Linked DNA regions of Canis lupus familiaris. The protein of the gene in region 1 binds, or shares a complex with, the protein of each later gene. Links are inferred from orthologs where the notes say so. Each region holds a gene or a part of one and is shown on either strand. Other genes may lie near its edges. The genes, in order: RGS7, GNB5 and GPR158.

Region 1 (3,649 bases):
TGGGATATTTAATTGCTAAATCTCCTGATTTGTATGCTTTTTAAAAAACTCCTTCAGTGACAGATTAGGTAAATATTTAAAATTTAATCCTAATCAGTCTGCAGTGCTCTATCTTGAGGATGAAGATTGGTAGATGAAGAAGTCAAGGAAAAAAGTGTATTCATCCAATTCACTGCTAGCCCAATCGAGGTAGATTCTGCTCTCGCCCACTGCAGCTCAATGGAGCATAAAAACTCCTTCATCTTTCTAGTCTAGTGAAATACCAGTTAGATGCAGAGAGTATCCTGGATGTCCTAATCTCTGTTTGCAGAAAATATATATTTTAGGAAATGACTCATTTCCCTGATCTCAAACATACTGGCAATAATCTGGATTTACTCTTGCTCAATATTTAGCCTAAGGCTCATCTCCAAGAGTATGGTACATTTGGGACCCTATCAGAATTTGTTGTTGGAAAAGTGGGGTGATGTCCTATTTTGGAGTCAAGCTTTTTGGGATTCAAATCTTACTGTGCTCAAGATCTGCCACTTACAGACATATACATTTAGGCCAATTTATTCATCTTTCTGACTCTCATTTTTTTAATACATAAAAAAGGTTGTTGTGAGGCCCAAAGGCCTTACGTTTAGCAAAGTAAGGGAGTTATCCATAGTAAGTGCTCAGATCTGCTTGAATATATGTCAGTCACACTTCTAATGCTTGCCTATATTAGTAAATTTAATCTTCACAAAACCTCAGTGAGGTTGGGAACCATTATTATGTCCATTTTAAATATGAAGAAGAGGACACACAACAGAGCTCTGACTAGAACTCAGCCAATGATGACTCTAGAAATGGCTTTCTTAGCCATTACACTGGGTCTTTTCTCAAATAATGCCAGGAATTTCTATTACTATATTTTTGAAGAAGAGGTTTAAAAAAAACTAGCAAAAACTGGAGTTAAATAGCTGAACTTAACTGAAAAAGAAGTACAGGGTCAGGTGGTAATGTTTTCTGTAGAAAATTATGCCTTTTCATTTTAAAAAAGATTTTTATTTATTTATTTATTTGAGAGAGAGAGAGAGAGAGAGAAAGAGAGAGCAAGCACAAGTGGTGGGGAGGGGCTGAGGGCGAGGGAGAAGCAAACTCCCTGTTGAACAGGGAGCCTGATGCAGGACTCCATCCCAAGACCCTGGGATCATGACCTGAGCCGAAGGCAGATGCTTAACCAAGAGCCACCCAGGTGCCCTATGCCTTTTCATTTTATTGAACGCCTAATAAACAAGAATATTTTTAATGCCACAGATAACAAAGAAATGTTCCTTTTAGGACTTTAGGAAGGTTAACCCAAACATTTTATACATTGTTGGCTCTAGAAAAATGTTTGAAATTTTATCTTGAACTGAAAGAAAGATAAATCAACAGAGAAGTAAGCAACAGGGCTACAATTTTCATCCTGCTCTTTCTTCTGTGTATCTGTAATTATTTCCAAATAGAAGGACATGGCAGAGCCAGAGAGACTGGGTATCTGGTTAGCTGTTTCAGCCTAATAAGCAGATCTGAGCACTTACTTACTTATTGTTAGTTTTCTATACGATGGCTCTTTTCTTTTAACCAAAGCCAGGAGAAATGTACTTTCCACTGAGACTGCAAACAAGGAAGGGCATGTGTGTATCTTATTTTTCATCTTCTATATTTTATATTAGTAATGTTGTTATTTGCAAAACCAAATACTTTCTAGAACTAATATTCTTCTCCAGAAGAGGTTTAAGAAATTAAGAAGTATGAATGGTCTGATTTAAAAGCCAATTTCAGCATATCATTAGGAAAATAATATCCTCTCATTTCAAGTTTATTGTTCTTCTTGAGCACAATTTTTTAGAGAAAATAGAAATTCAGATTATGTCTAAAGAGGCAATTATGTCCAGTTTGAGAAAAAAAAAACACTAAGGAAATTAACATCTAACATAAATTTCCTTTTTTTTCTTTTCACAGATTAAAAAGATAACTTGGAAAATTCATACATGCCTAAATCTATCATTTTATTGTATCATCAGAGACAAAACTGGCTTGAGTGTGACATAACTCTAAGCTACTTAGTTTAGTTCTGATAAGTCATCATAATGAATAATTTAAGAATGCCAGAAACTTAAAATCTCCACATTGGAAGACAACTTAAGATTTCAAATATGTGCTACTGAGGTGGGACCACCATTAGATAAGTGTTTTCTAACATACTGAGTGACAAAGTAGAAAATGAAGTAAAATTGTTCCAATATTTCAACCATTCCCCTTTAAGGAATATTCAGGTAAAAACATTCAAATTTACAAAGCATTCTCAGGCTCTAGTAACTGTTCTTTTTAACGTGTCTGTTCTCTTTTAAGTCAATTGGAGTTATTTACATATAGTTATCTAAATTGAAAATATTAAGCCTAGTCGCCAATTAAATGAAAATAAAGCAAAAGTATGTCAAATGTTAACTTCCCAGGAGCACATCTGTGACTTACGGTGGTGAGGCCCACCCATATACCAACCTGAGCATCTTCAAATGTGTATCGTCCAGGCTCCTTCACATTCTGTGTTGTTTTATCGTAGCTCTTAGAATCCAAGTTAATGGCACTGGGGGCTCCTGGAGCCAGAAATTCTTGCCATATTTCTTGAACTCGGGAAGGGACTTCTCTAATAGGCCTTTTCTTCAGGTCCTCCACTGCTAGCCAGAATCTATGCAAAATGAAACACCAATCACTTACTGTGACGCCTCATAATCTGCAAATTCTAACATATTGACTGATCATACTATTCACGATAATGCATAATAATGAGTTCCTTTTTTTCTGAGGGCTTCCCATAGATGGCCTTTTCTTCATTAGTTGTATTCAAATATATAAATTTTTCAAAAGGAAATGTTGAAAACAATCTCTTTTAAGTGTTTGCTGTTAAAACCAGTTCTCCCAGAGCCCTGATTCTTATACTTTAATTTTTAGTAGAGCAAAATGGCACTGCTAAAGAATCATTTAGAAAGGGAGAGGAGTTTGAAGGGAATTAGGGTGGGTGACATAGAGCATCTGCTTGGGGGGATGAAGTAGGGCATTATACTGTATTCTTTGGATCTTTTGTCCATTTGAGCAATGAGAAAATCCTATGGAAAGGATTTTCTGCTCTATCTGGCAAAAGAATTACAGTGAAGCTTTACTGGAATTAAAAGAGGACTGGATACAAGATCAGAAAAGGCCCTAGCTGGAGAAATCAGGGTAAGTAACTAATTTTAGGCTATTTAATTCAGAGAGTTATGAAATGACAGAAGCAACAAGCTTTCCCATGCCATTGTTTGAAAGGTTTAAATTTGTGGAGACATCATAGCAATTCAGAAGCTCTGAAAAAAACAAATATATACTGAGTTATTTCTAAATATATAAATATATTTTATATACTTCTGCATAGAATATATATACAAAATATATATATACTGTAAGCAAAGAACACTAGAACATATTTTGGTTGATAAGAGCAAATAGAAAAGTCTAATAATAAAGGGCCACATTGTATTAATGGGTTTAATTTCTTTAAATTTTGCTCTAAGTTATATGTTTTGGTTAGAACTAGAAATAATGTTGAAAAGATGAATATGTATATCATTATAATTTGTTAAAATGAAAAAGTACCTGAAAA
Region 2 (3,649 bases), on another chromosome or scaffold:
ACAGCATCATCGATAACATCTGCAGAATGTAGGAAATGGCAGAGTGAAATGAGGCAGGCTTTGTCCAGTGCCTCCCAATCTCTGTTCCATAATGCTTCCTGACAACGGAAAGCCAGCTTTATTTGGGGGTGACAATGTGTCCAGCTCACTTCTTTCTTTCCCAGCTTCATTGCAGTAGCTTTGTGACCTATTTCTGGCCAATAAAGTACAAAATCTGTTGGGAGAAAGGAGGTGATGGGGAAGACTTCTGCTTTTCTGATAAGAGGAAGAAACAGACGGGATGCGTGCGTGGCTCAGCAGTTGAACGTCTGCCTTTGGCTCAGGGAGTGATCCTGGGGTCAGGATCAAGTTCTGCATCAGGCTCTTTGCAGGAAACCTGCTTCTCTCCCTCTGCCTATGTTTCTGCTTCTCTCTCTCTCTCTCTCTCTCTCTCGCGCGTGCGCGCGAATAAATAAATAAAATATTTTAAAAAAGAAGGAGAAACAGGGGCTGGTGCCCATATTTCTCCTTCTTGTCCTGGATACAAAGGTTATATTTGGAGCTGTGGAGGTCATATCATAATCACAGGGCTAATGCCAATGTTCTCAGGGTGGTGGTGGAGAAAGACTCGAGCGTGAGTCCCTGATGGCATGCTGAGCAGCTGGACCAGAGCTGGTGATCACCTACACTTCTTCCTGTTATATAAGGAAAAGAACTCCCAATTTGCTTAGCTACTTTATTTGGGGTTTATAGTTAATTGTAGCTGGACACATCCCTAAATGATGTTGGGGTTTAGCACGTCTAATTTAAAGGAAGTCCCTACAAAGCACAGCACATTCTAGATTCAGGTCACCTGCTTCCATCAAGTGATTTTCAAAGAGAGGAGTCAGGCGTTAAAGGACCTAGCATGAACCCCATGTTTCTGCTCCAAATAGAATTTAAAAGGGGTGGCACCAAATAGGAATGGTAGGAGCACAATGCACAGGAGTGCCTGAGGGTACCATGGGGGAGGCTGTGCTCAGCAAACCGGGAGCTGCCACTCTCAGAGCTGAAAGATAAGCAGGTAAAAGCCACTTCCCCAAGTCTGGCCCTGAGCCCAAACTCTGCTGGGGACAAACCATCTGACAGTAAAGGAAAGCTGGTCCCACCAAGTCGTTTCACCTGTCTATTTAATTGCTCACTCATAAAAGTCACAGAGCGGTTTCTGAATGATCTAGTGGCCAATGAGTACGTTTATTTAAGACTGCTGTTGCTCTCTTCTGCCAATCGCACCCGCATCCATTCAAAAGCTTCTTAAATAGCCTTAAAGGAACGAAGTCATTGGATTTGGTAAAAGCTGCTCTGCTCTTCTTCCCTCATCCGGGTCTCCACCCCCAAGCCAAGAGGGCAGACTGGAAAAATGAGATTTTTTTTTTAACTGAGAGTCTGGCTCCTTGTAAAAGCAAAACTGAGAAAACACACACGACAGTGATGGAGAAAGCCCGCCCCCGCCGCCCCCGCCGCCGCGGTCGGTTCGCATCCTCCAGGCAGGGCAAGGGGCACAGGTCCCGAGGTCCCCAGGTGGGCGCCGCGGGTGGGGACAGCGGCCGCCAGGGGCCCACCCCCGCGCCCCCGCCCGGAGGCGGCGCGGCCTCGGCCAGCGGACCGGCCTGTGCAAGGCGTCCGGGCCTCCGGGGCCGCCGGGCTCGGGCCCCAGGGCCGCGGCCGCAGCCCTCGCCTCGCCCCGCGCCCTGAGCCGGGGGCCGGGAGCCGGGGCGGGGCCGGGGGCCGGGGCCGGGCGCCCCTCCGCGGCGGGCGCAGGCCCAGCTCCCGCCCCGGCCCGCTCCCCGGGGGCTCCTGGCTTCCTCGGCCGCCTCCCGGCGCGCAGCCCCCGCCCGGCCCGCACTCACGCTCCACGTCGTGCAGCTTGGCCCGCTCCTCCTCCAGCTTGCCCTTGAGGCTCTCGGCCTCGCTCTTCAGCGACGCCAGCGTCTGGTTCTCGTGCAGCCCGTCGGTTGCCATCTTCGCGCCGGGAAGCGGCGGGGAGGGAAGCGGGGACGCGGGTGAGCGGGCGCGCGGGCGGCGGAGGCCTGGCCGGCGAGCGGGCGGGAGCGGCCCCCGGCGCGGCTCCGGCTGCCTTCGCCCCGCCGCGGCCCCGCCCTCCGGCGCTGACGCGGGCGGTGCGAGCGGGGCCGCGGCGGCCGAACCCCCCCGCCGTGGGCCCCCCCGCCCTGCGCGCCCCCCGCGGCCCCGCGCCCCCGCCCGGGCACCTGCCGCGCGCGCCCGGCGCCGTGCCCAGGGCGATGCCCGCCGCCCCCCCTCGCGCGCCCCCCCCGCGCCCCCCGCGGCCCCCGCACCCCGCACCCCCGCCCGGCGCCGTGCCCAGGGCGATGCCCGCCGCCCCCCCCCCGCGCCCCCCGCGCCCCCGCCCGGGCACCTGCCGCGCGCGCCCGGCGCCGTGCCCAGGGCGATGCCCGCCGTGGCGCTGCTGCGCACCCCGCCCCGGGAAGCGGGGAGCGTCGTGCCCATTTCACCGGCGGGAGAGCCGAGGCGCAGAGGTGATGAGATGACCTGGCGGAGGACGCGCACGTACTGCCCGGCCCCCGGGAGCCGCTGAGGTCCCGGAGCGCGGCCTTCCTGGCGCCCGCGTCCCCGGCACCCGTCTCCGCTCAGGGGGACTTGGTAGGCTGCGGCGCGGCTGCTTCCTGCAGCGCAGAGAGCGGGGAGCGGGCAGCGAGGCCCAGGCCGCACCACGGATGGAGACCCGGCCTCGTCCTGGGAAGCCCCGGTGCTCCCCCCCAGCGAACCCGAAACTTGCCTCCCTGTGCGCTTACGTAGAAGTCCTGGTGCCAGGCACTGTTCCAAGCACTTTGCGTTAATAAATCACAACAGTCACCCTGAATGGATACTGTTATCCCCATTTCACAAATGAGGACACTGAGGCACAGAAGGGTTATATGATTTGCTTGAGTCACACTCCCAAGAAAGAGGTAAAGGTAGGATTTGGACCTAGACAATGTGGCTCCATTCAGCTACATGCCTGGCGACTTAAGTGTGGAGGAGCCAACGCATTGCTTCTCCCTTTTGCCTGTCCATGAGCTTGCATGTATGTGTGTATGTGTGTATGTGTGCATGTGTGCAAAATGGGAAGGTGGATTAAGGTTACAAACTCTAGAGCATGGGACGCCTGGGTAGCTCAGCGGTTAAGAGTCTGCTCTCTGCTCAGGACGTGATCCTGGAGTCCTGGGATCAAGTCCCGCTGGGCTCCCGGCGTGGAGCCTGCCTTTCTCTCTTTGCCTCTCTCTGTGTCTCTCATGAATAAATAAATAAAATCTTAAAAAAAAAAAAAAAAAAACTCTAGAGCAAACATTCCCAAACAGGATTTGGGGGTATGTCCTCACCCCTCCCTGCCTGAGGAATCCAGCTTCTACTTGCTGTCCTGGGCAGCTGTTTACCAAAGAAAAGTTGGAAGTAATCTGTATTAATCTATACATGGTCGTCTAGAGGTTAGATTCTGAGCTCAGTTTCCTTCGCTGGAAAATCTACTTCCTAGGGCTATTAGGAGAATTAAATAAGATCATGTGAATGAACTTTTTAGCAGCTTCTCCATCATAGCAGATACTATTAACTACCAGCTCCCCTTTCCCTTCCCATCAGTAGAAGTTCATTCATCAATTATTCTCAGTATTTA
Region 3 (3,649 bases), on another chromosome or scaffold:
TGTTGTTTGTCTTAACCATGATCCCTTGTCCCAGGTGGCATCAAGCAGTTATTTGCATATTTATTTCTAGTTAGACTGTAAACTTCTAGGACTATATCTTATTCTTCCATGTTGCCCCGCATAATGCCCAGCATATGATTATCACTATATAAATATTTGCTCGTTATACTTATATTTCAGTTATTTATATATGATTGTCACTATATAAAAAGTCATTCATTATGCTTATGTATTCAGTGTCTAGTACTAAAGAATTCTCCTTTTTCTGCCTAGCCAAAATATAGAAGACCATAAAAATGGGCCAGATTTCCTCTTTTGAGTTCCTAGTCATTCAAAATTTAGAATTCATTCAGGTATACCCAGAGACAATTATGTGTACATAGTGGCTGCAAGTTTCTCCTGCAGAAAATAAAATTGACACTGGCAAAAAATAATAATAATGATAATAACGACAATTTTTTAAATGTCTCTTATTTCTAAGAGTTCTCTGAATTTTTTGATCTGCTAATTATAATAGAAGGCTTCTTATAGGGTTAATCATTGACCAATAAGTTGATTAACTTGTTTAAAGCAAAAAAGCATTAAAGAAGTGTATAAGAGGCTGTGACTTAAAACACACAAATAATCATTTACCAACTTTTTAAAAGATTTATTTATTTCAGGGAGAGGGGGAGGGAGAGAGAACATGAGTAAGGTCAGGGGCCAAAGGAAAGGAAGAGAAATTCTCCCACTGACTCTGAACTGAGCACAGAGACCCACACGAGGTTCAATCCCAGAACTCTGACATCATGACGTGAATCAAAATCAGGAGTCAGATGCTTAACTGACTGAGTCACCCACGTGCTCCTCACTTACCAATACTTTTGAGGAAAAACTTCTTTGACTATGGGTCAGGTATTTGGAGTGCATTATTCTCTTTCTAACATAAATTACTATAATCATTATTTACTGTTCAGTGTTGGTTCTTTAGATAAAAGTGTAAATCTAAATATTTTTAAAGTAATCTGAGTATAGACTTTCTAGATTCTTGTTTATTGACCACTCCAATAAACTAAAATTTCCTCATTTTCCCCTCAGTTAAAAGCCTATTTAATGACTTGCCGACATGGAGTCTTTCCAAAGCATTCGAGATAGATTATTTTATTTTATTTTATTTTATTTTGTTTTGTTTTATTTTTATTGGAGTTCAATTTGCCAACATATAGCATATCACCCAGTGCTCATCCTGTCAAGTGCCCCCCTCAGTGCCCATCACCCAGTCACCCCAAACCCTCGCCCACCTCCCTTTCCACTACCACTTGTTTGTTTCCCAGAGTTAGGAGTCTCTCTTGTTCTTTCTCCCTCACTGATATTTCCACTCATTTTCTCTCCTTATTTTATACAAATAAGTCTTTTTTTTACATCATGAGTAATTATTTTATTCGTAATTTAGTTAAATTATATAAGGTGATAACAATGGGCACGATTTGGGGACAAATACAACTGATTTCTTAACAAGTAGCAATTCCCCTGGTTGGAGCAAAAGCGTTTGAGGCACACTAGACAGAGCTAGCAAGTTAGCTGCCAGTACTAGCATTTACATGGCATGGGCAGTACTCAATATGTTTTACCTAGGGAATGGAGAATAGCCGTTAATCTGGTGAACTAGTAAAATGGTACTAGAGTAAAAAGAGCTACTATCCTCTTATTTTATACTAATATCTTTCTGACATTGTTCCACAGAAAAGTTAAGTGTAGGTATTTTATTCAGAATTAAATAACTTCACCCTTTGTGTTAGCTGAAGGACAATGGAGTTAAAGGTATAGGGAAGAAGGATAAATAAAAGTCTGCTGTAAAATAACTTTCTTTGTTGGATGTATTGTGTTGATTCAGGAAGAGCTACCAAAGGTCTATAGAGAGAAAAAAAAAAGTATAATACATCTAGGCTATTTCAAGTATGCATGTTTCATTTCCAATTTCATCCCGATCTTCTTCCTTAATATAGTGATCTTAATTCAGTTACCCTAGTATTTAAATACCTCTCTCATTGTTTTCATGTTTATTTCATTATTTTTTTTGGTAATGTGATAAAATAATTACAAAGGGAAATCAATTTGTATAATTTTCACGGGATGCCTGGGTGGCTCAGCCTTCGACCCAGACTGTGATCCTGGAGTCTGGGGATCGAGTCCCACATCAGGCTCCCTGCATGGAGCCTGCTTCTCCCTCTGCCTATGTCTCTGCCTTTGTCTCTCTTCTCTCTGTGTATCTCATGAATAAATAAATAAAATCTTTAAAAAAAATAATTTTCAGAAAATGCCTTTCATGTTATTCTATTGTAAAAAATTAACTGGTTCAGGGAAGTTTTTGGCTTAGTATAATAGTGTGAAATCTAGCTACTTATTTTCAAGACTAGTTTTGATCCCTTGGAAATCTTGTTTGAGCCAGTTTGCCTCTGGATCCTTTTTTTTTAAGATCTTGAGTATGTTCCCTAAAATATTAAGACACACTCAAAATAATTTCATCCTGTACAAATCTGTTGACTCACTGCCATCTAAAGTAGAATATCTGTTTTGCTATTGGAAGATAAAAACTAGAATGAAATTAAGTGAAAATAAAAGCAATACTGTTTCTAGGTTTTTTTTTTTTTTCATGTTAAAACTCTGCATAAGTAGGTTTTTGGTGGGCTTAAACTTCACCTAGAAGAATCAAATAATATGGAGTTTTTCTGAGTGCTAAGTTTGCCTTCACATTTTGATGTTTTGCTTTTCCAGGGTTTTGAAGGTGTTTCTTTCACGAACAGCCCAGCGGATTCCATATATGACTGGTGGACGGGTCATGAGGATGCTGGCAGTAATGCTCCTGGTAGTATTTTGGTTTCTTGTTGGCTGGACTTCGTCTGTTTGCCAGAATTTGGAGAGGCAGATTTCACTTATTGGCCAAGGGCAAACATCTGATCACCTCATCTTCAATATGTGCCTCATTGAGCGCTGGGATTACATGACAGCAGTTGGTATGTGGTCACTTATTTTGTGCGTTGTCTGGTCCTATTTCCTAAAATAGACTTCTTTAGAAGCCTTACCATACCCTTTTACAAAACTGAAAGGGATTTCACCTAATATGGTTTGGGTAAAACAATATCATGAAAAGGACAATGACATGTGAAATGCAGACTTTTTCTGAGTTTCCATTCTTTTTCAAAGGTATGTAGCTTTGTTGAGAAAATGTGGTCAAGTAAATTAGGAAGGAGAAATGCAGCAAATAAAAACAACTACTTCTTACAAAGAAAATTTCTGTTTTCCACCTTATCAGTGTATTCCCATTGTATTAACAATAGCTGTTTTCTTGATTTATTTCTTTAATTGGGAGGGGAAAAAAGGGAAACATACTAGTATTTTTTATATAGTTTAGGTCCTGTGATATTTCAGACTAGGGATGCAGGGCACATTTTGAGTAGAGATCTTCCCTGCAAAAATTTTAATTAATCTATGGCTCTTCTAAAGATAATTTATTAGGACTTCTCTGGAGGTCCAGTATTCCACAAAAATGAAGCCATGCTCCTTGGGGTTGGTGAGAGACTGTTCCATGCCTGAGAAACTGGAGAACTTGGAAGAACCACATGACATCTTAGGCCAGAAGCATAGGTTTTTCTGGCACCTTGATTTTTTG

What was found.
Region 2: the proteins of RGS7 (region 1) and GNB5 are in contact, whole or in part, in a cryo-EM structure (PDB 7EWP), measured with the Homo sapiens proteins. The link is inferred for Canis lupus familiaris from reciprocal best matches to the Homo sapiens genes RGS7 and GNB5. Residues at the interface, in NP_001351815.1 of Homo sapiens: Pro19, Leu22, Val23, Lys26, Val30, Ile72, Val76, Glu77, His80, Leu81, Leu84, His88, Val207, Asp213, Ile214, Lys215, Lys216, Leu258, Gln261, Ile262, Trp265, Gln266, Gln268, Leu269, Arg271, His272, Arg273, Leu274, Lys275, Met276; in NP_057278.2 of Homo sapiens: Leu57, Glu60, Ala61, Glu62, Leu64, Lys65, Leu68, Glu71, Lys74, Leu75, His76, Asp77, Val78, Glu79, Leu80, Val83, Leu90, Phe93, Arg98, Arg99, Leu109, Lys117, Arg118, Ser134, Phe135, Trp149, Met151, Leu167, Tyr197, Ser206.
Region 3: the proteins of RGS7 (region 1) and GPR158 are in contact, whole or in part, in a cryo-EM structure (PDB 7SHF), measured with the Homo sapiens proteins. The link is inferred for Canis lupus familiaris from reciprocal best matches to the Homo sapiens genes RGS7 and GPR158. Residues at the interface, in NP_001351815.1 of Homo sapiens: Gln35, Ile43, Ser55, Arg109, Phe110, Thr112, Pro113, Tyr114, Phe115, Lys134, Thr136, Lys140, Ala141, Arg142, Leu143, Leu145, Ala146, Asp147, Ala150, Leu153, Gln157, Trp164, Phe168, Met169, Gln170, Glu172, Ala173, Gln174, Lys176, Val177; in NP_065803.2 of Homo sapiens: Leu507, Lys508, Phe510, Leu511, Arg513, Thr514, Tyr595, Tyr598, Ala599, Thr602, Val603, Pro604, Ile714, Arg715, Leu718, Lys719, Tyr722, Leu725, Glu726, Tyr728, Lys729, Arg730, Met733, Ile734, Thr735, Asn736, Asn737.

What each region holds. Positions count from the first base shown.
Region 1 is NC_049228.1:32,251,879-32,255,527, forward strand, and holds part of RGS7 (regulator of G-protein signaling 7), read right to left. Parts: intron 2,702-3,649; coding exon 2,515-2,701; intron 2,289-2,514; exon of another isoform or gene 1,975-2,288; intron 1-1,974. UniProt on the Homo sapiens protein: GTPase activator component of the RGS7-GNB5 complex that regulates G protein-coupled receptor signaling cascades.
Region 2 is NC_049251.1:18,167,300-18,170,948, forward strand, and holds part of GNB5 (guanine nucleotide-binding protein subunit beta-5), read right to left. Parts: intron 2,415-3,649; exon of another isoform or gene 2,396-2,414; intron 2,075-2,395; exon of another isoform or gene 1,981-2,074; coding exon 1,869-1,980; intron 20-1,868; exon of another isoform or gene 1-19. UniProt on the Homo sapiens protein: Enhances GTPase-activating protein (GAP) activity of regulator of G protein signaling (RGS) proteins, such as RGS7 and RGS9, hence involved in the termination of the signaling initiated by the G protein coupled receptors (GPCRs) by accelerating the GTP hydrolysis on the G-alpha subunits, thereby promoting their inactivation.
Region 3 is NC_049223.1:5,811,828-5,815,476, reverse strand, and holds part of GPR158 (probable G-protein coupled receptor 158), read left to right. Parts: intron 1-2,754; coding exon 2,755-2,993; intron 2,994-3,649. UniProt on the Homo sapiens protein: Metabotropic receptor for glycine that controls synapse formation and function in the brain. Acts as an atypical G-protein coupled receptor that recruits and regulates the RGS7-GNB5 complex instead of activating G proteins.